Linked DNA regions of Stegostoma tigrinum. The protein of the gene in region 1 purifies or fractionates together with the protein of each later gene. This does not show direct contact. Links are inferred from orthologs where the notes say so. Each region holds a gene or a part of one and is shown in the gene's direction. Other genes may lie near its edges. The genes, in order: arid1b, ss18, SWI/SNF-related matrix-associated actin-dependent regulator of chromatin subfamily D member 2 and zinc finger protein ubi-d4 B-like.

The links.
Region 2: the proteins of arid1b (region 1) and ss18 purify together in Homo sapiens (affinity purification with mass spectrometry; 4 studies listed by BioGRID and IntAct, counting the BioPlex papers as one, with this or other methods). This does not show direct contact. The link is inferred for Stegostoma tigrinum from reciprocal best matches to the Homo sapiens genes ARID1B and SS18.
Region 3: the proteins of arid1b (region 1) and SWI/SNF-related matrix-associated actin-dependent regulator of chromatin subfamily D member 2 purify together in Homo sapiens (affinity purification with mass spectrometry; 5 studies listed by BioGRID and IntAct, with this or other methods). This does not show direct contact. The link is inferred for Stegostoma tigrinum from reciprocal best matches to the Homo sapiens genes ARID1B and SMARCD2.
Region 4: the proteins of arid1b (region 1) and zinc finger protein ubi-d4 B-like purify together in Homo sapiens (affinity purification with mass spectrometry; 7 studies listed by BioGRID and IntAct, counting the BioPlex papers as one, with this or other methods). This does not show direct contact. The link is inferred for Stegostoma tigrinum from reciprocal best matches to the Homo sapiens genes ARID1B and DPF2.

The regions. Positions count from the first base shown.
Region 1 is NC_081362.1:36,512,978-36,520,071, reverse strand, and holds the start of arid1b (AT-rich interactive domain-containing protein 1B), read left to right. Parts: upstream 1-4,091; 5' UTR 4,092-4,407; coding exon 4,408-5,703; intron 5,704-7,094. UniProt on the Homo sapiens protein: Involved in transcriptional activation and repression of select genes by chromatin remodeling (alteration of DNA-nucleosome topology).
Region 2 is NC_081358.1:125,259,587-125,267,142, forward strand, and holds the start of ss18 (protein SSXT), read left to right. Parts: upstream 1-4,555; 5' UTR 4,556-5,182; coding exon 5,183-5,251; intron 5,252-7,556. Other genes in the region: proteasome subunit alpha type-7, read right to left, coding at 1,313-1,439, 3,702-3,803. UniProt on the Homo sapiens protein: Appears to function synergistically with RBM14 as a transcriptional coactivator. Isoform 1 and isoform 2 function in nuclear receptor coactivation. Isoform 1 and isoform 2 function in general transcriptional coactivation.
Region 3 is NC_081384.1:23,920,339-23,927,331, reverse strand, and holds the start of SWI/SNF-related matrix-associated actin-dependent regulator of chromatin subfamily D member 2, read left to right. Parts: upstream 1-3,984; 5' UTR 3,985-4,454; coding exon 4,455-4,610; intron 4,611-6,993. UniProt on the Homo sapiens protein: Involved in transcriptional activation and repression of select genes by chromatin remodeling (alteration of DNA-nucleosome topology).
Region 4 is NC_081395.1:3,497,578-3,505,176, reverse strand, and holds the start of zinc finger protein ubi-d4 B-like, read left to right. Parts: upstream 1-4,591; coding exon 4,592-4,686; intron 4,687-5,041; coding exon 5,042-5,121; intron 5,122-7,599. UniProt on the Homo sapiens protein: Plays an active role in transcriptional regulation by binding modified histones H3 and H4. Is a negative regulator of myeloid differentiation of hematopoietic progenitor cells. Might also have a role in the development and maturation of lymphoid cells.

The DNA.
Region 1 (7,094 bases):
TCTGAGCTGTATTGTTCTATGTTCTATGTAATCCCCTTTGAGCCTCCTACCTTTCACCTTAAAATTACTCCCTCTTGTTATTGACCCTTCAATGAAAGGGAGCAGCTGCGTTCTATCTACTCTGTCCACGTCTGGGATAATCTTATATACCTCAATCAGGTTCTCTCTCAGCCTTTTCAGCTCTAAAGAAAACAATCCCATCAAATCCAGACTCTCCTCATTACTAAACTACTCCATCCCAGGCAACATCCGGAAGAATCTCCTCTGCATCCCCTCCAGTGCAGTCACATCATTCCTATCATGTGACCAGAGCTACACACAGTACTCCAATGTGGTCTGACCACAGTCCTATACAGTTTCAACATAACCTTCCTGCTCTTATAAACTATGTCATGACTAATAAGTATCCCATATGCCTTCTTAACTACACTTTTAACTTGATCTCACATCTTCAGGGATCTATAGACAAGCATTCCAAGATCTTCTGTTCCTCTGAACTTACTAGATTCCTGCCATTCACAAGCACTCCCTTGTCTTCTTGCTTCTTCCAAAGCCTAACACCTCATGTCTCACAGGGTTAATTTCCATCTAGCATTTGTCTGCTGATCTGACCAATCTGTCCATATCTTCTTGTAACCCAAGATCTTCTTCCTTATTCTCAATCACCCAGCCACTTCATGTCATCCACAAACTTAATTCCATTCCCCCAAATTTTTCCATATATATTGTCTGTACATCACAAACAATAAAGGGAAACCTGCACTAATCTCTGTGGTAAGGTAAAATCTCAAAAGTCCTACCGGTTCACAGGATTGCTCTGAGAGAGATGACTGGTGGTAGTTTAACGTGTGGGTCATTGTATCTCAGGAGAGGGGAAGAGGTTGAGAAGGAGAGACTTTCGTGGTAACCTTAGCTGATGCAGGAATTGAACTAATACAGCTGCCATTATTCTGCCTTACAAAATAATCATTTAGCTAACTGAATAAACTGACTGCAGCCCACACACCCTGGAGTCCACAGTGCCCCACTGCACATTGGCTTCCAAGTCACACAAACAGCTTTCTACCACCACACTCTACCTCCTACCAGAAGCCAGTTTTGGATCCAACATGCCAATTTTCCCTAAATTCCATATGCTTTTATTTGTATTATCAGCTGCCAATGTGGGACCTTGTCAAAGGACTTACTGAAATCCATACATACTAAATCACCTGCATATAAGACCATCAAGTCCACGCTGCCATTTCATCATGGCTGATGGGCATTTCAACTCCACTTCCCTGCACTCTCCCTGTAGCCCTTGATTCCTTGTGAGATCAAGAATTTATCGATCTCTGCCTTGAAAACATTTAACGTCTCGGCCTCAACTGCGCTCCATGACAATGAATTCCACAGGCCCACCACTCTCTGGCTGAAGAAATGCCTTTTATTGCCAGCAATGTCTTCAGCTGTGCAAGGCCCTAATGGTATATTCTAATCAGAAATGTCATTACAAGTCTTTAAGTCCCTGCTAAATAGATATTCCTTTCTCCTCTTTTTCCACTTTAAGGTGTTCCTTAAAACCTATTTCTGATAAAGCTTTCAATCACCTTCTCTAATATCACCTTATGTTTCTTGATGTCAAATTTTGACTCATTACACTCCAATAGTTACATCTTGGGATGTTTTAATATGTCTAAAGTGCTATAGACTTCCAGTAAGCAACAGAGAAATATGTTATACAAACATGAATAAAGTTGATGTATTGATTTCAAAGAAATCTGACAAATGCAGTGATATTCCAAGTTATAATGGATTATTTTTTCTTCCATTCTTTAATCTTTTGATATTAAAAATTGTTTTTTTTTTACAAAATGACATGGACATGGCAGAAATTGTTTGTTGTTTTGCACTTCCTGAAATGTATTCTGTAACAAAACACCTTCTTTGTATACAAATATGAGCAATGACAACAACTTGCAATCTGTCGAAATAAACAGAATCTCTTTAAATGTCTCATGTCAGTGAGGTGCGGAGGATGTTAATGATTATTGACTGTAAATAATGTATGATTTAAAATGTGTACAACTTTACATTGCACTGAAGAATCCGTTACAAGAAAATGTTAATTTTATTTTTTGATCTTTAAAAGTTAAATTGTGCTGTCTAAGCAATTACTTCCGCGCTGCAGCCAGAAGTACACAGCACACCATAATATGGTTGTTTGAAGGAATTAAGTTTCCTCCCTCGACAAGATTCTACCCGTCTTGCTATAATTTCATTATTTGTTTAAATTCAATGAAATCGCTGCGCATTTTATGTCGAATAATGTGTTTGAAAGATTCGAGCGCGTCATCAATCCATCGATTTGCACTGAAATGCCTTTTTTTTGCCCCTTGCGTCTGTTGATCGAATTTCAGATCAGCCAGGATTTGCAACTAACCTTCCGGTATAACTGAACCCAATTGACGCTGGGAGACATAAAGATCAAAAAGACTGCTACATCTATTTAATGCGCGCAAAACATCGCTGGGTCATTATTGCAAACTTAAAATTTATTTGCAATAAGGATTCCTTTTACAAGCGTCTGAATTATTGGATTGCAGAGTGGGAAAACGGAGAACAAAAGGGACATATCTTTTACTCAGCACTGACGTCAGTTTGATTTTACTGACAACTATTGATGCGTGTGAAGCAATTGCAAGCAACTCCCTCTCATGAGGTACATGAAAAAAATACTGATAGGATCTCAGTGAAAACTTCAGAAATGGGATTCGGTATCTGAATACAACAAATAGAAATAAATAACACATACTATTTTCAGATTAAAAATAATGAATTTTCAAATTTGTTTTCAATGTAAAAAGATCTCCAGTGGGAGTATATAGGAACAGCAAATAGGCACTGAGCAGAGTAGAGAATGCTTCAACCTAGGAATGCTGTTCGTTACTCTGAAGGAAAGGACACATTAGGGAAAATAGTCCGTGCTATTTTTCCTTGATTTTTGTTAATCCTCATTCTCAGATGTGAGTTGCCACACACGTCTGGGATAAGTGGATTTTGCAGGATTTTTTTTGCTGGCTGAATTTTGATTCGGATGCTGGCTGATGTGTATAAGTTGATAGCGTAAGGATTCCAGTGATCCTGTGATTATGTCTAACTCTGAGGCTAGAGAGAAATAGATTGAACCCGGGGCTAGGAGAGAGGCAAGAACTGGACTGGAACGTTCTGGTACACGCACAATGAAAGGAGACACAGGTCATGCTTGGAAAGTGAAATACTAAAAAGAATTTGGTCTAAAACGATGTCTTACTAATGTAGATAACAAGGTGTAGAGTTGGATGAACACAGCAGGCCAAGCAGCATCAGAGGAGCAGGAAGGCTGACGTTTCGAGCCTAGACCCTTCTTCAGCAATAAGAAGGGTCTAGGCCTGAAACGTCAGTCTTCCTGCTGGGCCTGCTGTGTTCATCCAGCTCTACACCTTGTTATCTCAGATTCTCCAGCATCTGCAGCTCTTACTATCTCATCTTACTAATGTTAATTGTGATAAGTATTGAGAAAATGTAATAAATCTATTAAATTGTTTTCAAAATGAAATGGGATATGCAGAGATAACAAAGTGTGAGGCTAGATGAACACAGCAGGCCAAGCAGCATCTCAGGAGCACAAAAGCTGACGTTTTTGGGATATGCAGAGAATCGACAACTACCATATCATCTTATGAAGACTGATGCTTTTTAAAATGGGAAACAAAGTTTGAATTAGTTGATAACGAGCATTTTGTTTGGTGGGTCAATTTTATAACACATTAAGGTAAGATACAATTAATACAAACTATGTTTACAGATTACAATAAATGGCAACTTAAGAGAATCATAGGTTTAAATTAATGTTGTTATTCATCAAATAGAAATGATTGCCAATAGTTTATGGTAAGTTATACATATTAACAGGTTAGGAAATTAGAATTCATGTTTTTAAACAACATAGAAAGTAAAACAATTATAAACGTCACTGCATTTAGATTGTGCAGTATGGGAGAGATACAGGTTCCAGCCCGTGTTTTCGAGTTGATATGCAGTAATCAGAGGAATGGATAATAGTTGTTGGAGTCCTCATGCCATGCTGGGCCAGAGGCTCAGCTAGACATGTAGTTACCCATATCCGGGTTAGAGAGGAAAGGAAAGTTTGATTTTTAAAACAGATCTGGAGAAAGTTTTCTACCTATTTAACAAAAATAGAAAATAGAATTTAATTTATTATTATAATCACCATGCAACAGAAGAGAATGTGAGCCTATTTTTCTTTTGCTTTCAAACTGGAGGAGGACAAGTTTTTTTTCTTTTTTAATAATATTTAATGATCGGGTGTAAAAGGAAGCAGACGTGTCTGTGTCTTTCCCTGCTCTCCGACTGATTTTCTGAGAGATGATCATGGCTGCTCAAGTAGCAGCAGCTCCGGCCAACAGTAGCAACAACGGTGGTAGCCCCGGCCTGAGCGGCCCCGACCCAAACAGCGTCAACAACGGAAAACCGGCGGCTCCGGTAGGAGGACTCGGCGGTGACGGCGGAGATCCCAGTGGCGGCGGCTTGAACCTAAACAGCGTTGATCATCATCACCATCCTCGCCACCACCACCAGCACCACCTTCCCCACCAGCAGCACCACGGCGAGCTCACCATGGCCAACTCCTCGGGGCCTGGCCCCAGTCCGGCCAACAACGGCGGAGGCAGCGGCGCTGCTGGAGGCTCGGGGTCGGCCTCGTCCAACCCGAACCCAGAGCCAACGCACAAAGAACCCGCCTCAGCCTCGCCTTCCTCGGCGTCCACCGCCTCCTCCTCATCTTCGGCCGCCAGTGAGGCGGGGATAATTCCCAATCACAAACTGAAACCCACCGGCGCTGAATTGTTGCTTCCTCCCCATCATCAAGGAGAAGGAGGCGGCGGGGCAGAGACTCAACATGGAGGCGGTGGTGGGAAAGACAACATCTTGTTAAGCGCTGACAACCAGGGCAACAATAATAAGGCCGACGACCAATTGCTCAAAATGGGCGATCAGAGATATGAGCACCCGGCAGGCTCCAATATTCAAGCAGAGCCGGCGCCTGGCCTCCACGATTATAATTATTATTACCGGGCGGCGGCGGCAGGAACAGGCCCCGGTCCAGGACCCTACTTCGATCAACATGGCGGACAACAAAGCCCGGGGCTTGGGCTTCATCCTTCCAGCAGCTTGGAGCTGAGCGCCAGCCCGCTACACAATTCTCACGACGGCTACTCCAACAACTACAACCACTACTCGGGGTACAGGCCGGCTTACAGCAGCCCTGGTTACGGCATAATGAACTCTCCCAGGGCCAACAATATGGGATCCAGTGGGGCCACCAACAGCGGCCACCATCAAGGCAAGCAGCAGCCGCCTCTGGCCGGGGCATTTCAGCGCTACTCAGGCCAAAACCAGCATTCGGGGGCCACGCCAACTCTCAACCAGCTACTGACCTCCCCCAGCCCCATGAGGGGATATGGCTTTCCGGACTACAGTAATCCCGGCCCTTCGCAGACCTCGTTCAAAGGGAACGACATAGGCAGTCAATACGGAGTAGGCAGCAGCCAACCCTGGGGAGGCGGAGGCGGAGGTGGTGGTGGTGGCGGCGGAGCAGGACAAGCCCGCAGCCACACGGCCATGAGCCCTGGCAGCTCGGCGCAGCCTCTGGGCAGGACACAGGTAAAGCGGCCTGTGTTGTCGGTGTCTTTCTCCCTGAAGGGAGAATGGAGCTGGCGTTGTGCGATGTGAAGATATTTAGAGAGAAAGTCGTGCAACTGCTGGTCAGGGACCTAGGCCGCGCTACGTTTCATATGACTTCTTACTGGCAAGGAGAGAGTTTTAGCGACTCTTTTTCTTGGGATACGCCGTATGCAGAGAGTTTGTGCTTTCTACCCCTAGCGATGGGTGTCCGCTGTGCGGATTTATGCACTGAACTGATAACTTCCAGTTAGGTTACTTCTAGATTAAATAAATCAGTTAAGTTTCCTTTTGTTAATTTAAACTGCTATTCGGTATGTTTTTGACCCCACCCATTTCAGTTACTTTTACCCTCCAGGCTGCTCGGGTTGATTTTTGTTTCATGGTGTATGAAAACTGGTAGGTCCATTCAGCTCGTATTCGAATCTCTTCACCTTCATTTGCAAGGTTTGCAATTTGAATTATGGAGGTAAAACGCCTGGAATCGAGTCTCTAGACAGCTGCCTCCGAGTTGACATCTAATCTGCCATCTGATTGGTTCTCACACTCACCACTGGGCATTTATCAGTGCTGATGTAAATACAAGTTCCTGAACGTCGCAATCGTAAGCCCACATTGCACGTTTCCTAAGAATCCGCACAATTTACAGAGCGCATGGATCATTAAGAGAAATCAACACCGCTTCAACTTTCATTCCCTTCGACATTCCAGTTGCACTTAAATATCAAAATTTCCATTTTTAAAATGTGTTTGATTCGATAAACCATCTTTGGCAGTGAAACACTTGTTTAGTAACAAGCGGTTGACATATTAAAATATTCTGGAATAACCAGCTTATGCATATTTACTAAAATCAGCCATTAATTATAAGCGTTGGTAACTTTAATGAAACAGCAATAGATATTCCGTACACTTCAGAACCTGTTCTGTGTAATCAAGGGATAAGCTTGTTGGATGAATTGAGAAGTAATTTAGAACAGTATTATTTTAAAATATCTATTAAGTGAAATCTATACAAATGAGTATTATGGTTAGTTCATTCAAAGAAAATTAACTGCTTTGTAAGTATTGCCCAGGAAGTACTGCATATAGAGCAATTTACTATTGTAAAATACCATAATTGTTATTGCTTTTGATTCCACACCAATTGTAGCAATATTAAAAACTAGAACTTTAACTTTGTGAACTATATTTCCTTTTTTTCTAATTAAATTGAAATCTCTTTGTCTGATTGCTCATGGTAAATGCTTCAGTATAACTATACAGACCCATAAGTTCAATTCCGTGCCAATGGTATGGTGGTAGTTGTAGTCGGGTTGTTAAATGATGGCATGGCGGTTCTTGTGTAACAGAATAGTGTACTTGCCTCTGAA
Region 2 (7,556 bases), on another chromosome or scaffold:
GTATGAGGATTTGGGGTAGACCATTTAGGATGGAGATGGAGAGACAGTTCTTCACCCAAAGAGTGGTGAGCCTGTGGAATTAATTACCATAGGAAGTAGTTGATGCCAAAACACTGAATATATTCAAAAGGCGGCACTTGGGGCAAATGGGATCAAAGGTTATGGGGAGAAAGCAGGATTAGTCTACTGAGTTGGACGATCAGCAATGATCGTGAAGAATAGTGGAGCAGGCTCGAAGGGCTGAATGGCCTCCTCCTGCTCCTGTCTTCTCTGTTTCTATCAGACTTAATTCCAGATTTTGTTTGTGAAATAAAATTCAAATTCCACCATCTGCCATGCGGGATTATCTGGGTTTTTGGATTAATAACCTTGCACTACACTGTTACCTCCCCAAGGGACCAGCACTTATCCCCGTGGAACGCCAGTGGACACCGACCTCCAATCGCACAACCAGCCTTCCAGCACCACCTTCTATCTCCTACCATTAACCCAATTTTGGGTCCAACCTGCCAAGCCTACATGCTTCTACGTTCATCAGTGTCCCCTGTGGCACCTTGTCAAAGGCTTTGCTGTCCTGCAGTCAGCATTGGTCCCCTGTTCTAACTGAATAAGAGCTGAACTTGTTGACCCTTCTCAACACAACCCACTTCCACATACCTGTCTACAGCCATAAACATCATCAACACTGACTGAAATGCAAGTTATTTCTTTGGGGAAAAGATGATATGAGACACTGACAGAAACTTAGGAACAGGAGTAGACCATTCAGCCCCTTCAACCCATTTCACTGTTCAATGTGCTCACAGCTGGTCTGTGGCTTAACTTCAAATACATGCCTTTAGCCTAGGTCCCTTAACACCTTTGCTTCACAAAAAATTATTTCAAATTAAAAATTAACAACTGATCTAACATACCAGCCATTTGTGGAAGAGAGTTCCAAACATCTATCACCTTTCTGTATAGGAGTGCTTCCTAACATCTCTTCTGGATAGCCTGGCCCTAATTCTCAGACTCTTCCGAGTTCTAGAATTGCCAATCAGTAGAAATAGTTCATTGTTATTAACTCTGACCTTTCCTGTCAATATCTTAAAGGAGTCCCAATAACTTTCCAAATTCTGGAGAACACATAAACAGTGACAGTTATTAGAGCCTGAGGCGTTCAAACAGTCACATCCAAAAACAATTTCAATGATGGATGTTTCCTCAACCTTGTTGATATTTTTTCAGCCATTTTTTAGAAAACAAATAATAAAATAAAACAAATATAATTAAGTTGCATTAAAAAGCCCCAGAAGGAAATCCCAAAGTATACCTGCAAATGCCATGCAGACATGGTCATCAAGTGCACAGATTTTTCTCACTGTTCTCTCCTCCTGAAGTTTTGCAACAGACTTTTTCTCCACACCAAGAACAACTATATCTTTACCTCGAATCCCAACCTTCAAAACGGGAAGAGTAAGCACAGTGAGTGAGTAACCGAAAGGAAAAAAAACTTACAGGACTGCATGACACTGCAGACATGGTTTGCTTAGGGGATACTTGTCTTCATTAGCCAAAGCATTGAAGACGAGCAAGGAAGTTATGTCGGAACTGTATACAAGATTAGTTGGGCCACTGCTGGAGTACTGAGAGAAGATCTGGGCAGGACATTATAGGAAGGATGTGATTGCCCGAGACAGGGTGCAGAGGAGATTCACCAGGATGTTGCCTGGACTGGAACAATTAACCTACAAAGAGATACAAGATAAGGTGAAGTTGGTTTCCATACAGCAGAGAAAGCCGAGGGCAGGATTTGAGTGAAGTCTCCCAAGTTTGAGGAGCATAGACAGCATAGCTCGGAATAGACATTTTCTCTTGGTAGAGGGATTAATAACCAGAAGGCACATTTTTCAGCTCAAGCGCAGGACCTTCAGAGAGGATTTGAGAAAAAAAATTCAGAGGGTTGTGGGTGTTTGGAACTCTCTCTCTGAAAAGGGTAGAGGCAGGAACAGTTGAGACATTTAGGTAATACCAAGATGAAAACTTGAAATGCCACAGCAAACAAGGCCATAGAAATGGAATGAGAAGAGATGGAGGTTTAACAACTAGCATAAATGCAATAGGTGAAGGCCCTCTTTCCAAGATGTAAAAACTCTTGACTCTGTTCAAGTAAATATCTTGCTAGGTTACTTCAGAGAGAACTTTGGCATTTGTTCATAAATTAATAGAATATAAAAGTAGATAAGTATTACTGCAACTAGACAAGGCATTATAAGATTACATCTGGGATACTATGTAAAATGTTGGTCACTTAATTGAGGAAGAAGGTAGTTGTCTCAGACACAGATCAAAGGAGATTTACTCAAAAACAGAAATTGCCAGGGAAAGTCTAGCACCAGTGAAGAGTTTAAAAAAAAGAGAGTTGACGTTTTGAGTCCAGTGACACTCCTTCAGGGCCCTTCTGAAGGTTCACTGGATCTGAAACATTGATCATTTGTTTCTCTCTGCACGGTTGCTGCCAGACCTCCTGAATTTCACCAGAGATGAAGGGCTTGTCTTATGAAGAGAGATCAAGCAGTTTACATATAGATAGAACATTTACATAGAACATTACAGCACAGTACAGGCCCTTCGGCCCTCGATGTTGTGCCAACCTGTCATACCGATCTCAAGTTCATCTAACCTACACTATTCCATGTACGTCCATATGCTTATCCAATGACGCCTTAAATGTACGTAAATTTGGCGAATCTACTACCGTTGCAGGCAAAGCGTTCCATTCCCTTACTACTCTGAATAAAGAAACTACCTCTGACATCTGTCCTATATCTTTCACCCCTCAATTTAAAGCTGTGCCCCCTCGTGCTCGCCTACACCCTGGAATGTTGGGCACGGTCCCTTGGCATAGGGCAGCAGCAAAGTGGGCACTGTGCTGGGGCAGGGGAGGAGGAAGCATGTGGGGGGTGCCACTGTCCCTGGGAGGGGGGGGGGAGCGATGTGTGGAGAGATGTGGGGGATCACTGTCCCTAATTGGGGGTGGAGGGGGCAAAGAAGGAATATGGGTGATCACCATCCCGTGTGGGGGGGGGGGTCACTGTTTCAGGGGTGGTCACTGTCCCTTGGGGAGGGGGGGGGCGTGTGGGGGTCACTGTCCCTTGGGGGGGGCGCGTGGGGGTCACTGTCCCTTGGGGGGGGGCGCGTGGGGGTCACTGTCCCTTGGGGGGGGGCGCGTGGGGGGTCACTGTCCCGGGGAAGGGGGCGTGTGGGGCGTCACTGTCCGGGGGGGCAGGGGGTCACTCTCCCTGGAGGGAGGGGTCGTGTGGGGGGGTCACTGTCCTTGGACGGAGGGGGCGTGTGGGGGTCACTGTCCCGGGGGGGGCCGTGTGGGGGTCACTGTCCTTGGAGAGAGTGGGGGGGGGGCAGGGGGGTCACTGTCCTTGGAGGGAGGGGGCGTGTGGGGGTCACTGTCCTTGGAGAGAGTGGGGGGGGGGCAGGGGGGTCACTGTCCTTGGAGGGAGGGGGCGTGTGGGGGTCACTGTCCCGGGGGGGGGGGCAGGGGGGGTCACTGTCCCGGGGGGGGAGGGGGGTCACTGTCCTTGGAGGGAGGGGGCGTGTGGGGGTCACTGTCCCGGGGGGGGGAGTGGGAGGGGGGGGCGCGCGGGGTCACCGTCCCTGGGGGCTGTCACTGTTCCCGGAGTGGGGCGGTTCTACTACAGACTCACCGCTGTCGAGCCTTTCTTCACGGCCTCTTGCGCGTATTCCACTTGAAAGAGATGTCCGTCTGGAGAGAACACAGTGATGGCTCGGTCATAGCGAGCCGCCATAGCCGCGGTCAACTAATCCACCCCCCCTCCCCGCCCAAGACCGGCCGTAACGCACGCGCACAAACGGACGGTAGGCGCAACGCACGCGCACGAGCCGGCCGCCGGCACAGCGCACGCGCGCGCTCGAACCAGCCGCCAAACTAAAGGACTCCACTGCGCACGCCCTCATGGAAGGGGCGGAGCTGTGGCCAATGGACTTCACCAATTAAACAGCTTCTCCGGAGGGGCGGTAATATCATTTCGTTCCATTATATTATTAACGCGCAGCATCAGTAACGAAAATCCCATTTTTGAAAGGAAGTTATTAATTATTCTTCAATTTTCTTTTGTTCGTTGCGTATATTTGGTGGGACAGTGTGTGTATTCTACACATTGGTATTCCTCACCCCCTCTCCCGACTACTGGGTATAGTTTGATATGGCCTCAGGCCGGAAGAAACCACAAAGAGGAGGGGGAGGATTGGACGAAATCCAGCTACATAACATCAGGGCGATCTGACAGAAAAAACATCTATGGACTGCAAACATTATGCATCTTGAAATTAATTGACCCCCTTTACTGATTGAACATGTTGAAAAACATCTATTTTCGTTGCAACTTTGGTTGCATCACTGCCAAAAAAAAGTCGCTTCCCTGTTCCAGATTCTGGTCTTGAAACCAGAAGGAATGCACCATTTGTCTCCAGAGGGGAGGGTGGGTACTGAGGACAACTGTAGAGGCCTGGGAATGTCTGGCTTTATTGATTAGTAAAGTACACGGTAGTTATATTCGTGGGAAGCATTTCATGTCCTACTCTGGCCCAATTCGGATTTGTTGCTTTACTCTGTGTAGGAATTGCTTGCTGTTGAATCCACAAAATCCCCAGTGGTTGCAGTGTAACTGGCAGGAGTTTATCCGGAATTCTTCATTCATTAATGGGGGAGATCCTCAGCTGACTGATTCATTAGAAATTGCACCCAAAATACTGCACTGTCTCCCCAGTCACTGAAAATGCACTGGATCAGAATAATGCAGGCACTTGCAGCCCTCTTTGTCTCCTTGCACAGCTGCTGACAACTTCTTGCTGCAGCCCTGGTGTGCATTTTCTACCTTACGCCTTTTAGTGTTGGGGCTGGAGGAGGGGTGTAAACTCTGCCGTTTCCCCTTCCTCCCACAGCTACGAGAGATTTTTTTTAAAAAATATAGTAGAATCTCTTTGAAGAGGGAAGAAAAAGAGCGCTGCCTGTTTCCAAGGAGGAGGAGTTGCTACCATGTCTGCTGCATTCTGTATGCTGTGTGGGTGAAGAGAGGGGAGGGAGTGAAGGGGGGGGGAGAATAGAAATAAGAGAGGAGTGGAAGGGTGAGAAATAGACTCAACTCCATACACAGAGCAGAGCACGATGTCGGTTGCTTTTGCTACTCCCCGGCAACGCGGGAAAGGTGAAATTACACCTGCCGCCATTCAGAAGGTAATGTAGCGAGTTTTGGAACGTTGCGACAATGTATCCGCTCAGATTGTTACACTGGAGGGTTACATTGTAGCAGGCGTGCAACAATGTAACCTATACATACACACCGGGGGGGAGGGGGCATCAGATCATGAAGCCTTTGTATTCGTAGAGTCCCGTTAAGCTTCAACGGGGAACAAAAACCATTTTCTTCTTCCCTGTGTATTTTGTTTTAAAAATAAGATTCCGTGGGGAGAGGGGGTTCCTATACACTCACCCAGATACGAAAAAAATGCTTGACAGAGAGGGGGAATTTTGCTCTCGCGGCCATGATGAAGGTCTTCAACTGTTTTTGGGAGAACATTTTTTTTCTCTTTGTCTTCCCCCCCCCCTCCCCCAGAGCTTCTTGAAGCTTTTACAGCCTCATTCCTAAGTCCAACCTCGCTCAGCGAAATTCACAAGCGCCAGGAAATGATCATTTTCTCATAAGTACAATTGGGTTGGCAGTTAACTTTTAATCCGTCTCCAGTAATTTTTTTTTCTCTCTCCGAGGTTATTTTTTTCTTGCAATGTCTGGTTGGATTTGAAATGTTCCCCTTTTCTCCACCCCTTAAGAATACTTCAGATCTGCTGATGGATTTGATTTCACGTTTTTTTTTCTATTCATTTCAACCAACTTTAATTGTTCGAGTTGATGTGTGAGCTTGAGCGAGTAACACGTTCTGGGGGAATTTCTGTTACATCAATTTTACGACAAGGTCACTGCTTTTTTTTCGTTTGTTCTGAGCTGAGATGTTTACTTGTACTCCTGCGTTTTTGTTTATTGTGCTGGAAATAGCAGTTTTTGCACAGTTGAGGTTTGACTCCTGTCCTGTTTCGCGTTCCTCCCTTGGCATTTCCCCTCTGGGTTGTCTCTTCGCAGCCGAGCTATTTTGCCAAGTCACGGGCTACGTTTTGGGTCATGTTGCTGGGGCAGGTTTAAACCCAGAAGCCTAGCCGTTTCAGCTGGAGACTTGAGTTCAAATCCTAGCTTGGCAATTCCAAGTCTGGGAAGCTCGGTTACACTCGGTCTGGCCAACGGCGCAATTTTTAAAAATTGTCCAGATGAAACGAAATATTGTGGACGCGAGGAGGGTAGTCATGGACTTGGAGAGGACACGACTGGAAGGGGCAGCTGAAATTTAACACAGAAGTAGAAATTGCTGGAAAAACCCGGCAGGTCTGGCAGCATCTATGGAGAGAAATCAGTTGACCTTTTGGGTCCAGTGACTATCTCCACCCTTCCGAACTTTCGGATTTACAGCCTCCTCAGTTCGACCTGTTTTAATGCAGATGAAATGTGATGTGGAGAAGTCTGAGGAAAGCAAAGGGACACGATAAAACAAGAACACAATTTTGCTGAAGAAGGGGTGTGATAACACGGTGTGGAGCTGGATGAACGTAGCTGGCCAAGCAGCATCAGAGGAGCAAGAAAGCTGACGTTTCGAGCAAGGGTCCCGACGCGAACCGTTAACTTTCCTGCACCTCTGCTGTCTAGCCTGTTGTGTTCATCCAGCTCCACACTGTATTGTCTCTGCGATGAAATGAAAGCCCTTATTCTCCAAGGGGCTGCGCAGGATTTGGGGATTGGTGAGTGCACCATTTCTGCAAGGCAAGGAGGGAAAGTGGTTGGAAAGGCACAAAGGATCCCTCCTTTTTAAAATAAGCTTAAACAGTACAACTCATTCAGCCAGTAACTCACTGTTCCAGCCTCACCTGAAATCTAGTGCTGAATTCTGGGCTACACACTTCAGGAAGGATATGCAGGTCTTGGAGGGAGTACAATGTAGGTTTACCAGAATGAAACCTGGACTTCAGGCATTAAGTTATGAGGAGAGATTATACAAACTGTTTTCTCTAGAATTTAGAAGGTTGAGGGTGATCTGATCGAAGCCTTTAAGATGTTAACAGGAAAACATAAACAAATTACTTAACAAAAATGTACCTAAATTATTAATGACTGTGGGTCAAAGACAAGTACATGGAGTTAAGTCACAGATCAGTCATGATTTCATTGATTGGCAGAACAGGCTTGCAGGGCTGAATGGCCTACACCTATTCCTCCTTGTCAACATGTTAGATGCAGATTTTCAGAGGCAAATGGTTCATAGTTAGGGTGTAACTATAATCCAGAGGACCAGGCTATGGGGTTGCAAGTTCAAATCCCATCACAGCAGCTGGTAGACTTTAGATTCAATAAATAAAAATCTAGAATCTAAAGCTATACTCCAGACCACAGCAAAGTAGTTGACTCTTAACTGCATATTTGTCACTTTCAGAAGTTCCT
Region 3 (6,993 bases), on another chromosome or scaffold:
AAATATCCATTGCATGCATTCCAAGTTTGGTGTTAGCAGAGTTAAAGATGAAGCTGAAAGAGATCAAGTCATCTCAGCAAATGTAATTGACAGTATTTCCAAGGCTGAGGAGTCATGAACAATGCCATCAGAATGTTGAGCTACGTAGCCAAAATTGTAGAATGGAGATCAGAAAATGTTGCGATTGAAACACACTTCGCACCACACCTTAAAAACTGCATCTAGGTGTGGCTGCCAAGATCCCAACAAAAAACATTCACATGCTGAAAGCACTGCACATTAGAACCACAAGGCTCAGCCAAAAGTCAGGGATCTGAATTCTAGGGAAATTCAGAATTTACAGATACAAACTGTTAAAAGGTAATTATACAATTGATATCAGAAAATTTTATTCCGTTATGTGTCCAGGTAAAGCAATAGATGAAAAAAGACAATTAAATGCTGCAATGGGAACACTTTTCTGAACAGGCTGCTTTCTCATCCACAAGAATTTTATGATCTAGTATGTAATAGATCAATCATATTTCCATGCTTAGGCCAAGTTGAGAGTTTCTTTTGGTGTTGCACATTAAATATGGGGAATCAATCTGTCTTGAGGGTTCCTTATGACCATGCAATATTAGATTTGCCTGCTTTGTGAGCAAACTTTGCTTGCAAATGAAAGAAGGGCGTTATTTGATGGTCCCTGATAAAAATGTAAAAATATAATTAACAAAAAATGTTAGATTTGCTGGTCGTCTGGGCAGACTACAGTTGGTGAGTTTCAAACAACTGCACAGGACTTTCAACATTAAGTAAATACCAAGGATGGACTTAGGAATAAATAAAATTGGATATAGTCATTTATTTCAGCATATAGACTTTTTTAAGATTGGGTCACAATTTTTAACTACCAATGACTAAAATTTGACTGCCACGACAGTATTTCAAACTTGATTTGTTTCAAGGCAGAGAGTTCCTGTTTCTCACCATCAGATTACATAGATAAGCTGGGACTCATTATTAGTCTATTCACTTCTGAGTCAGAAAGTTGGGAATTTGAGCCCTAGCAAGATATCTGAGCAAATAATATGCAATTGTAAAAGCCCATCAGACTGGGAAGAAGGCATCCTTGATAACAAAGTGTGGAGCTGGATTAACACAGCAGGCCAAGCAGCATCTTAGGAGCACAAAAGCTAACGTTTTGGGCCTAGAACCTTCATAAGAAAAGGGGGATGGGGAGAGGGTTCTGAAATAAATAGGGAGAGAGGGGGAGGTGGATCGAAGGTGGATAGAGGAGAAGATAGGTGGAGAGGAGACAGACAAATTAACGGGGTGGGGATGCACTTGCCACTACACCTCCTCCCTCATCCACATCCCAGGCCCCAAGAAGACTTTCCACATCAAGCAGATGTTCACCTGCACATCTGCCAATGTGGTATACAGCATCCGCTGTACCCGTTGTGGCTTCCTCGGGGAAACCAAGCGGAGGCTTGGAGGCTTTACAGAACACCAATGCTTGGTTCGCAATAAACAACTGCACCTCCCTGTCGCGAACCATTTCAACTCCCCCTCCCATTCCTTAGACAACATGTCCATCCTGGGCCTCCTGCAGTGCCACAACGATGCCACCCAAAGGTTGCAGAACAGCAACTCATGCAACCTTCTGCTTGGGGACCCTGCAGCCCAATGTATCAATGTGGATTTCACAAGCTTCAAAATCTCCCCTTCCCCCACTGCATCCCAAAACCAGCCCAGCTCATCCCCGCCTCCCTAACCTGTTCTTCATCTCAACTATCCCCTCCTCCCACCTCCAAGCCACACCTCCATTTCCCACCTACTAGCCTCATCCCACCCCCTTGATCTGTCCATCATCCCCAGACTGACATATCCCCTCCCTACCTCCCCACCTACACTCACCTTACTGTGGATTTCACAAGCTTCAAAATCTCCCCTTCCAAAAACCAGCCCAGCTCATCCCCTCCCCCCACTGCATCCCAAAACCAGCCCAGCTCGTCCCCACCTCCCTAACCTGTTCTTCATCTCAACTATCCCCTCCTCCCACCTCCAAGCCACACCTCCATTTCCCACCTACTAACATCATCCCACCCCCTTGACCTGTCCGCCCTCCCCAGACTGACATATCCCCTCCCTACCTCCCCACCAACACTCACCTCTACAGGCTCCATCCCCACCCCTTTAACTTGTCTGTCTCCTCTCCATCTATCTTCTCCTCTATCTATCTTTGATCTGCCTCCCCATCTCTCCCTGTTGATTTCAGAACCCTCTCCCCATCCCCCACTCTGATGAAGGGTCTAGGCCTGAAACATCAGCTTTTGTCCTCCTACGATGTTGCTTGGCCTGCTGTGTTCGTCCAGCCCCACACTTTTTTATCTCGGATTCTCCAGCATCTGCAGTTCCCATTATCTCTAAGAAGGCATCCTTGCTTGTTTTCAATATCATGCCAAGTGATGTTTTATACCCCACTGTGAAAGCAGATAGAGCTGAGTTTTAAGGCCTTGTGTGAATGACGGTGGCTGTTGAGAGCAATACCCCCCTAGCGCTGTACAAAAGTGTCAGGTGGATGTAGCTGAATATAGACTGTCACTAGATACTCTGAACATTTATTCCTCAACCAATATCTTTTAAAATCAAAATACCTGCTTATTTATTTCCATGTTGCTTGTGATCGCTACATAGACAAATTGGCTGCCATGTTTGGGGAGTGGCTACAATTCAAAAGTACTCTGTAAAACATTTTGAGATGTCCTGAGGTGATGACAGGTACATTTCAAATGTCAGTCATTTCTTCCTAAGTGTCTGGTTTTCAGGAAGAAGGCATTTTAGAACTTCTGTTCATAGTACTGGGATAAAGGAACCTCAGGTCCTATAACCAGTATTTGTAAAGATTTCCTCTGTTATTAAATACATCATTATGCCTTGTAAAATGCTAATGATATTCTAACCTCCTGGGGGTTACCATTGACCAGAAACTGAACAGGACTAGTGATACAAATACTGTGACTGTGAGAAGATCAGAAGCCTTGAATCTTACAATTAATTTACTTCCTGACTTCTCAAAGCCTATCCAGCATTTACAAGTCATAATTCAGGATCTGATGGCACACTCCCCACTTGCCTCCATGAGTGCAGCTCCAAAAACATTCAAGAAGCTTGACACCATCAACAAAACAACCCACTTGACTGGCACCATATCTACAAAGTTCAGTCCTTCAACCACAATGCTCAGTGGAAGCAGTGTGTACCAGTTACAAGATGCACTGCAGTACTTCACCAAGGCTGCTTAGGGAGAACCATCCAAACCCTTGACTGCAACTCTCTAGAAGGGCAAGGACGACAGATCCCAGGGAACACCACCATTTGCCAGTTCCCCTCCAACCACACACCATCTTGACTTGCAAATATATCGCTATTTCTTCAGTGCCAAAATCCAGGGAACTCCCTCACTAATGGCATTGTAAGCATCCTTGTACCAACAGACTGCAGCTGCTCAAGGCAGCTCACCACCACCTACATTACCTGTAAATTTCCAACTTCTGGATTTGGTAGTCAGTACGAGTTGGCGTGCACAGAGCCTCTGAGCAAATTTGTGACCACTTAATGGGGACAGTGCTCACCACCACCTTCTCCAGGGCAAATATGGATGAGCAATAAACGCTGACGCAGCCAATGAAGCCCACACCCCATGGGTGAATAAAGGTATTTTCTAAAAAGAGTCAACAAGGTGCGAGAAATAACTAAGAAAATGAGGGTTGGATTTGTCTGTTTTGCCAGGCAAAGAGTTCATTCTAACAGAGGTGCTGCTGACTGAAGACTGCACTTTACCTGGCGCAGGCTGAGTTCCTGCTTGCTATAGACAGCACAATGTTTAGACTTGCCTGGTGAAGTGCTCCTACTGAGTAGGTAGAGGGCGCGCGGTCTATTGAGTTCCCTGCTAACCTGCTTGAGCAATCCCCACCCATCTGCCAAAGCCACAGAAGTGGGCGGGAGGCGTAGCTCTCAACAAACAAGAGTGTAGCGAGGGGGAGAAAAACACTCTGATCTTTATCTTTAGACATTTTGTTGGTTTTGAGGCACTTTAGAAAATGTGTCAGTGCCAGCAGAGTGGGGGCTTATAGCTCTCCAGCAGATTCATGGGTAATGATGACACCAAACATTGCCACCTCTGTGCCTGTTGTTAAATGTTATGTGTGTGCTTTCTTGTTTTTTTTGAAAAGAAAGCGTTAACGTAGCCGGTAAGGAATAGCCGTGGGGTGAAACCGGAGACCTCTCTCCCTGAGCCGCGGAGGCTTGTGGCAACCAATTGGAGGAGTGACTTGTACCAAGTGACAGCTGGGATCTTTGTTGGAGGAAGAGTTGTTAGCGCCGAGTGAGATTGTCTTTTGTTTTCATATATCTACATATACATATATATATTACATGCATGTGTCTGTTTATGTATACACTTTGAAAAAATGGCGACAAGAGTAGGCGGAGGGTACCCCTTGAACCCAGGGAGCCCCCTGAATCCTTCCTTGGGGGTGATGCCAGGACAAGCGGTCAGGATGCCACTGAACCTCCAGCAGCAATCTCCAGTCTTCCGGACGATGGGTCCCGGCGGCGCTTACAACGTGAGTAATTGCCTCCAAACCCCACTGCTCACCAGCAATGCAAAACTTTCCAACTTCTGCCCTTATTTATCTGCACCGATCGATCGGAAAGCACTGAAACCGGCCCCAGAATCAGAAAGGAAACCACCGTTTTATTTAGTCATCGATTTTCCCCCCCCTTTTTCTGTAATTATGTTTCTTGACTTCTTTAGAATTAAATACTTGATGTGGCGGCGCCACATGAGATTAATTTTTAATGTAGTTTTTCTTTAAAAAAACATGTGGTTTAGACACGTGCAAGAGATATGAAATAGCTCTAAAGGTGACTCTCTTTTTGTTGAATAAAAGAGTTAGTTGCTATTTTTTTCTCTGGTGTTTATCAAATTGGCAAGGAACTGACCCCAAGCAGACACCCTAGCCCTCTTGTTTTGCTGGTTGAAATTACAGTGAAACTCGGCCTAAAAGCTCCCTCCCGATCCTCCCTGCTGAATTATTTTGTGTGTGTGTTGTTGTTCCCGTTTCGCATTACTTCCGCATTCAGTGTCGCATCGAGAAACCTTGTTCCGCGATTGCGGAGATTCGGCGCTTGGACCCTCATCCCCCTGACCCCGGAAACCCGGGGTCTCCGCTTCAATCTGCAGCCTACCTACTTTCCCCCACCCCCCAAGATCACTGCAAAATACCCACCCTCCCGCCTCCCGGACTATGGTCTTACACGTGGTCAGCACTGTAAGAGAGGAGAGGCACATGAGCGCCATCACATGCCTCCTATTGTAGGGCCACTGGGAGTTTGGGGCATCTGGATTGTAGAGAGCAGGAGCATGTGGGGAACCTTGATTATAGAGAGAGGGGTATTAGGGGGTTTGGTTTATGCACACAAGCTGGGGTAAAGGTTCTGAATTGCAGGGGAAAAACATGTAGGAGAACTGAATTGTACAAGTGGGGATGTATCTGGATTACAGAGACAGGGCGACTAGAATTGCAAAACTGAAAGAAATAGGAACTGTATTAGGCTGTTCACCCCCTCCTACACCCTTCAGTGGGATCATAGCTGAAACTTAATTCTTCATCTCTGCTTTCCTGCGTTTTCCCTGTATCCCTTGATTCCCCGACTGATCACCAGCTTTAAATATACACAAGGACTGTACCCCACAGCTGTCTGTGGCAAGGAGTTCCAAAGACACACTCACCATTGAGAGACAAATTCCTCCTCATCTCCGTTCTAAATTGGTGCCCCTTTGTTCTGAGGCTGATCCTGGACTCTACCGTGAGAGATAACATCCTGTCAGTATTTACCCTAGCGAGTTTTGAGAACATTTGTAGCTCAGGTTGAGTTTCTGGATGTGAGTTTGCTCGCTGAGTTGGAAGGTTAGTTTTCAGACGTTTCATCACCATTCTAGGTAACATCATCAGTGAGCCTCCGATGAAGCGCTGGTGTTATGTCCCGCTTTCTATTTATCTGTTTATCTATTTCTATTTATTTGTTTAGGTAAACAGATAAATAGAAAGCGGGACATAACACCAGCGCTTCATCGGAGGCTCACTGATGATGTTACCTAGAATGGTGACGAAACGTCTGAAAATTAACCTTCCAGCTGAGCGAGCAAACTCACATCCAGTATTTCCCCTGTCAAGCCCCTTAAAATCCAGTAAGCTTCAATGAGAGCACCTCTCATTCTAATGAACTGCAAGGGCTGGAGTCCCAACCTGTTTAGCTTTTGCTCATTAGACAGTCCCTCTAGATCCCGTACACCCCCTCTCTCTATAATTGAGGTTCTCCACATGCTGCTTATCTCTACAATCCAGATTCCCCACCTCCCAGTGGCCCTACAATAGTCCCATCCTAGGGAGCCTTCTTTGAAGTGAGGCTGATTTAGTTTGGGAAACTTGGTCAGAGTGGACAAGTAGGACTAAGGATCTATTTCTGTGCTCAGAGATAATGGGAACTGCAGATGCTGGAGAATTTGAGATAACAAAGTGTGAAGCTGGATGAACGCAGCACAAAAGCTCTATACCCTTCATCAGAGAGGTGAAGGGTCTAGGCCCGAAACGTCAGCTTTTGTGCTCCTAAGATGCTGCTTGGCCTGCTGTGTTTATCCAGCTTCACACTTTGTTATCTCTGTTTCTGTGCTGTCTGAATCTAGGACTGTATGATTCAAGAGACACAGGCGAGATGAGAGATCTGGATGATGGGGACAATGGAATGTTGGGGATCTAGATTACAGAGACAGGGCAAAAAGGGGCTCTCAATTATGAAGCCAAGGGATGGGGATCTGTCTTACATATAAAGCATTTGAATTGTGGGTGAGGAAAATAGGATACCTGGATTACAGGTAAGGGGAGACTGGGATTAGAAATGCGAGCTGTATCTTGGTCTGTGTTATAGGGGCAGGTTGACATAGGG
Region 4 (7,599 bases), on another chromosome or scaffold:
CCAACCAGCTCGGATCTCAGTCCCGGAACTGAAGAAATCCCCTGGTTATACTGGTCAGCCAGGGCTCTCCTGATTGGCCCAGGGTTAACATGCCCAATCAAGGATCTTGTAGCCAACAAGATCCAGCTGGTTCCTATCGCTACAGTACCCAAGGTTTAGCAGACTGATTCCTGAGATGGCAGGGCTGGCATATGAGGAGACACTGAATTGGTTAAAATTAGAGTCGCTGCAAAACTGGGGCCTCTCATAGATAGCTGTAAAATTCAAACAGGACTAGACAGGGTAGATGCAGGAAGGATACTCCCAGTGATGGGGAAGCCCAGAACCAGGGGTCACAGTGTAAGGATGTGGCAAAATCCAATCCCAAGAGCCTGCATCTGGCCCACATCTCTCGCAATCTTCCCGACTCATGTACCCGTCCAGATGCCCTTTAAATGCTGTAACTGTACCAGCCCCCACCACTTCCCCTGGCAGCTCATTCCATACCAACCATCCTCTGTGTGAAAAAGTTACCCCTCAGGTCCCTTTTACATCCTCCCCCTCTCACCTTAAACCTATATCCCTCTAGACTCCCCCCCACCCTGGGGGGAAAAGACCTTGTCTATTCACCCTGTCCATGCCCCTCATGATTTTATAAACCTCTATAAGGTCACCCCTTCAGCCTCTGAAGCTCCAGGGATTATCGCTGCAGCCTATTCAGCCCCTCCCTGTCGCTCAGACCCTCCAACCCTGGCAACATCCTTGTAAATCTTTTCTGAGCCCTTTCTATTTTAACGACATCCTTCCCACAGCAGGGAGACCTGGATTGAACACAGTTTTCCAAAAGTGGCCCTAACCAATGTCCAGTACAGCCACAACGTGGCCGTCCCAACTCCCTCTACTCAATGCACTGACCAATAAAGACAAGTACCAAATGCCTCCTTCATTATCCTATCCACCTGTGACTCCACTTTCAGGGAGCTATGAACCTGCTCCCCAAGGTCTCTCTGTTCAGCAACACCCCCCAGGGCCTTCCCATTAAGCCCTGCCCTGATGTGACTTTCCAAAATGCAGCATCTCACATTTATCTGAATTCAACTCCATCTGCCTCTCCTCGGCCCATCGGCCCATCTGATTAAGGCCCTATTGTACCCTGATGGAACCTTCTTCACTGTACACTGTATCTCCAATTTTAGACTCACCTGTAAACTTACCATATCAAAAGCCAGTCCCAAGAGCCTGCATTTGGCCCACATCTCTCTCGATCTTTCCAACTCATGTCCCCGTCCAGATGCCCTTTAAATGCTGTAACTGTACCAGCCCCCACCACTTCCTCACGACACCAGGTGAAAGTCTAACAGATGAAGGAGCTGTGCACCGAAAGCTTGTGATTTCAAATAAACCTGTTGGACTATAACCTGGTGTCTTGGGACTTCTGACCTCTGTCCACCGCAGTCCTACACGGGCACCTCCACATCTTGGCAGACCAGCCATACCCCTTATGTTCTCATCCAAATCATTGAAGCAAATGACCATCAGCAGTGGGGCTTTTAGTGACTTGGAGAGAGCAAGGCCTGCAGGTGCTGGAGTCAGAGATAACACAGTGTGGAGCTGGAGGAACACAGCAAGCCAGGCAGCATCACAGGAGCAGGAAAGCAGATGTTCCGGGCCTGGACCCTTCATCAGGACTGGGGAGGGGTTAGGGAGCTCAGAAATAAACAGAGGGAGGTGGGTGGGCCTGGGGGAAGGTAGGTGGGACGGTGATAGGTGGATGTAGATAGATGGTGGCGGGGAATGGTGAGTGGGATGGGTGGGGATGGATGGGTGGGAGAGAAGATGGACAGGTTGTGTCAGGTCAAGGAAATGAGAGGGAGGGTTGGTCATGAGATGAGGCTGGGGGTGTGGGAAGATTTTAAAACTGCACTCGACGTTAAGGCCATCAGGCTGTAGGCTCCCGAGGTGGAATATGAGGTTCTGCTCCTCCAGTTTGTGGGTGGCATCATTGTGACACTGGAGGAGGCCCAGGATGGATATGTCACCCAGGGAATGGCGGGGGGGGGGGGGCAGTTAAAATGGTTTGCAACTGGAAGGAGTCATCGTTTGTCGTGTATGGAGTGCAGATGATCTACAAAACGGCCCCTAAGTCTGCACTTGGTCTCACTGATTTAGAGGAGGCCACGTAGGGAGCAGGAGATACAGGAGCCAAGTTGACAGATGTGCAGGTGAACCCCCATCTAATAGACAATAGACAATAGGTGCAGGTGTAGGCCATTCGGCCCTTTGAGCCAGCACCACCATTCATTATCCTGTCACAATCAGTATCCTGTTCCTGCGTTATCCCCAAAACCCCTGACTCCACTATCTTTAAGAGCTCTATCCATCCCTCCATGACATGGAAGGTTTGTTTTGGGCCTGGGACGGGGGGTGAGGGGGGAGGTGCAGGGGTATAGCGCTTCCTGTGGGTACAGGGAAGGGTGGTGGGGTTAGTGGGGAGTGTGGAGCAGATGAGGGAGTTGCGGAGAAGGCGGTCCCTATGGAAGGCAGATAGTGTGGGGCGGGAAAATATATTTGGCTGTGGGCTCGGATTGTAGCTGGTGCAAATGGCGGAGAATGATACTTTGGATGTGGAGGTTGGTGGGGTGATATGTGAGGGACAATGGGGCTTCTGTCTTTATTTGTGTTGGGGGGGAGGGGGTGTGAGGACAGAAGTGTGGGAAACACAAGAGATGAGGTTGAGGGCATTTTCAATCACTGGGTGGGGGGAAGTTATGGTCTTTGAAATAGGGGTCCATGTGCGGGAGTGGAATGCCTCATCGTGGGAGCAGATGCGGCGGAGGCGGAGGAATTGGGAATAGGGGATGGAATTTTTGCAGGAGGGTGGGTGGGAGGAGGTGTATTCTAGGTAGCTGTGGGAGTCGGTGGGCTTGAAATGGACATCGGTTACAAGCTGGTTGCCTGAGATGGAGACTGAGAGGTCCAGGAAGGTGAGGGATGTGCTGGAGATTGCCCAGGTGAACTGAAGGTTGGGGTGGAAGGTGTTGGTGAAGTGGATGAACTGTTTGAGCTCCTCTGGGGAGCAAGAGGCGGCGCCGATACAGTCATCAATGTAACGGAGGAAGAGGTGGGGTTTGGGGCCAGTGTAGCAGAAGAGGGATTGTTCCACGTAACCTACAAAGAGGCAGGCATAGCTGGGGCCCATGCGGGTGCCCATGGCCACCCCCTTAGTCTGTAGGAAGTGGGAGGAATCGAAAGAGAAGTTGTTGAGGGTGAGGACGAGTTTGGCTAGGCAGATGAGGGTGTCAGTGGAGGGGGACTGGTCGGGCCTGCAGGACAGGAAGAAGCAGAGGGCCATCTGCATGAGGAATACAGGTGTATAGGGACTGGACGTCCATGGTGAAGATGAGGTGTTAGAGGCTGTGGAATTTACAGAGGTCCACTCTAAGTTTGTAAGAAGGAGCACAGACCTGAAGTTTTTTTTTAAAGCAGGTGGCAGCGCTTTAGAAATACTACAAATCACAGAATCTAGTTATGTTTGATTTATTGAACAAATGTGGGTCAAAACTCATTACCATGTGCCTGCACCAAAGCAGGGATTAAATAGCCAGCTCGACCTCAGTAACACTAGTACGTTGCGCATTTTAGGAAACAGGTTTGCAGTAATTGTCCTGCAAGAGATTGAACTCTCATGGCATGAACGTGTTCCTTTAACTTCCATTAAACCAAAATTGTCGATCCCTTTCATTCTTCCACAGAGAGACAGGGTACTTCGCAGTACCAAAGCTTAATTTATGAAGGTCCACACCAGGCAAACAAACAAGCAGGAGCTGCCTCCAACCTTTAGATTTGTCAGATACGTAGAAAATCAGAGAAGAGTACAGGAGGACATTCAGCCCGTTGAGTCTGCAGGGTCGGATTGTGCTGATTGTTGAGTCAATGTGATGGGGATTTGTCAGGATACCAAGTCTCAGCACTGAGTGACCATTTCACACTCACTGGCTCCCCTCAGCCAGTCCACCCTGTCGCTGCTCCTTCCTTCCTCTGAGGCTGAGTGGGAGCAGTCCCCCTCTGCTTCCCTGTCTAAGGTGAAAAGATTCAGTCTCCGAGTCCTACAGCACAGAAACAGACCCTTTGGTCCGACCCATCCACCGAGCTTGTTTTCCAAACTGACTCAGTCCCAGCTGCCTGCGTTTCGCCCATATCGCTCTCTAACCCTTTCCTGTTCATGTACCTGTCCAGATGTCTTTTTCAAATGCTGTAAGAGTCCCCCACACCCACCACTTCCCGTGGCAGTTCATTCCACACACAAACCAGCCTCTGTGTAAAAAAATTACCCCTCAAGCCCTTTTCAAAACGGTCTCCTCTCACCTTAAAAATACAACCCCTAGTTTTGAACTCGCCCACTTTAGAGAAAAGGCCTTGACTATTCACGTTCTTTATGACCCTCATGATATTTATAAACCTCTACAAGGTCGCCTCTCAACTTCCTACACTCCAGTGACAGAATTCCCAGCCTTTCAAGCCTCTCCTTATGACTCAAACCCTCCGATTCCCAGTGACGTCCCGGTACATCTCTCCCGAGCTCTCTACAGCTCAATAATATCCTTCCGAAAACATGGAGACACCAGAAATGCACATGGTGCTGCAGAATAGAGCGCCCCCAATGTCCTGCACAAACTCAACACAACGCCCCAACTCTGGCACTCAGCGGTGACCCACTCTCTGTCGGTGGGGCAGGCCAGAGGGATGGGGGGAAGCTGCTGGGGTGGGAGGAGGGTAACTCAGACCAGAGCCTCCCTGTGCAAAAGCACTCAAATAGCTGATTAAACTGAGCATCTAGAATCCTTTGTCCCAGGCATCACACTGAAGGGGCAGGGGATTATGCCAGCCCTGCTTTAACACTCAGTAATTCAATAATAAGCAAACTATCACGACTCAGCTCACAGGACTGACCCTCAAATCAAATATGAGTCAGCTGGAACAAAAACAGAAGTTGCCGGAAAAGCTCAGCGGGTCTGGCAGCGTTTGTGAAGGAAAAAAATCAGAGTAAACATTTCGGTTCCAGGGACCCTTCCTCAGAACTCAAACCCGAGACCAAAGGCTTAGTCACCAATGGAGCAGTGAGAGAAATTCAGGGGGGTTCAGGTGCCAAAGATAGGGAGGGGGTGTAGGGGCCAGAGGGGTTGCCAGAGATAGGGAGGGGGTGTAGGGGGTGACAGAGATAGGGAGGGGGTGTGGGGGCTGGAGAGGGTGACAGAGATAGGGAGGGGTGTGGGGGCTGGAGTGGGTGACAGAGATAGGGTGGGGATGTTTGGGCTGGAGGGGGTAACAGAGATAGGAGGGGGTGTGGGGGGGTGACAGAGATTGGCAGGGGGAGTAGCGGCTGGAGTGGGTGACAGAGATACGGTGGGGGTGTTTGGGCTGGAGGGGGTGACAGAGATAAGGAGGGGGTCGAGGGGTTGGAGAGGGTTACAGAGATAGGGAGGGGGTGTAGGGGCTGGAGGGGTTGACAGAAATAGAGGGGGGTGTAGGGGCTGGAGGGGGTGACAGAGACAAGGAGGGGGTGTTGGGAATTGAGGGTGTGACAGAGATAGGGAGGGGGTGTAGGGGCTGGAGGGGGTGACAGAGATAGGGAGGGGGTGTAGAAGCTGGAGGGGGTGAAGAGATAGGGAGGGGGTGTAGGGGATGGAGGGGGTGACAAAGATAGGGAGGGGGTGTGGGGGCGGGAGTGGGTGACAGAGATCGAGAGTCGGTGTAGGGGCTGGAGGGGGTGACAGAGAGGAAGGGGGTGTCAGGGCTGGAGGGAGTGACAGAGATAGTGGAGCGGGGGAATGGGGGATAGTGGAGAGGGGTGATTGGGGTTAGTGGAGAGGGGGGATTGGGGTTAGTGGAGAGGGGGGATTGGGGTTAGTGGAGTGGGGATGGGGGTTAGTGGAGAGGGGGGATTGGGGTTAGTGGAGAGGGGGTATTGGGGTTAGTGGAGAGGGGGGATGGGGGTTAGTGGAGAGGGGGTATTGGGGTGAGTGGAGAGGGGGGATGGGGGTTAGTAGAGAGGGGGGATTGGGGTTAGTGGAGAGGGGGGATTGGGGTTAGTGGAGAGGGGGGATTGGGGTTAGTGGAGAGTGGGGATGGGGGTTAGTGGAGTGGGGATGGGGGTTAGTGGAGAGGGGGTATTGTGGTTAGTGGAGAGGGGGAATTGGGGTTAGTGGAGAGGGGGTATTGTGGTTAGTGGAGAGGGGGGATTGGGGTTAGTGGAGAGGGGGGATGGGGGTTAGTGGAGAGGGGGTATTGGGGTTAGTGGAGAGGGGGTATTGGGGTTAGTGGAGAGGGGGAATTGGGGTTAGTGGAGAGGGGGTATTGGGGTTAGTGGAGAGGGGGGATGGGGGTTAGGGGAGAGGGGGAATTGGGGTGAGTGGAGAGGGGGAATTGGGGTGAGTGGAGAGGGGGAATTGTGGTTAGTGGAGAGGGGGGATGGGGGTTAGGGGAGAGGGGGAATTGGGGTGAGTGGAGAGGGGGAATTGGGGTTAGTGGAGAGGGGGAATTGTGGTTAGTGGAGAGGGGGTATTGGGGTTAGTGGAGGGGGGGATGGGGGTTAGTGGAGAGGGGGGATGGGGTTAGTGGGGAGGGGGATGTGGGCTTAGTGGGGAGGGGTTATTGGGGTTAGTGGAGAGGGGGGATTGTGGTTAGTGTAGAGGGGGGATTGTGGTTAGTGTAGAGGGGGGATTGTGGTTAGTGGAGGGGAGGGATTGGGGTTAGTGGAGAGGGGTATGGGGCTTCGTGGAGAGGGGGTATTGGGGTTAGTGGAGAGGGGGGATTGGGGTTAGTGGAGAGGGGGGTATTGGGGTTAGTGGAGATGGGGGATTGGGGTTAGTGGAGATGGGGGATTGGGGTTAATGGAGAGTGGGGATGGTGGTTAGTGGAGAGGGGGGATTGGGGTTAGTGGAGGGGTGGGATTGGGGTTTGTGGAGAGTGGGTATGGGTGTTAGTGGAGAGGGGGTATTGGGGTTAGTGGAGAGGGCGGATGGGGGTTAGTGGAGAGGGGATGGGGGTTAGTGGAGAGGGGGGATTTGGGTTAGTGGAGAGGGGGTTGGGGGTTAGTCTAGAGGGGGGATTGGGGTTAGTGGAGAGGGGGGATTGGGGTTAGTGGAGAGGGGGTATTGGGGTTAGTGGAGAGGGGGTATTGGGGTTAGTGGAGAGGGGGATGGGGGTTAGTGGAGAGGGGGGATTGGGGTTAGTGGAGGGGTGGGATTGGGGTTTCTGGAGAGTGGGTATGGGTGTTAGTGGAGAGGGGGTATTGGGGTTAGTGAAGAGGGCGGATGGGGGTTAGTGGAGAGGGGATGGGGTTTAGTGGAGAGGGGGGATTTGGGTTAGTGGAGAGGGGGTTGGGGGTTAGTGGAGAGGGGGGATTGGGGTTAGTGGAGAGGGGGGATTGGGGTTAGTGGAGAGGGGGGATTGGGGTTAGTGGAGAAGGGGATGGGGGTTAGTGGAGAGGGGGGATTGGGGTTAGTGTAGAGGGGGGATTGGGGGTTAGTGGAGAGTGGGGATGGGGGTTAGTGGAGAGGGGGTTGGGGTTTAGTGGAGAGGGGGGATTGGGGTTAGTGGAGTGGGGATGGGGGTTAGTGG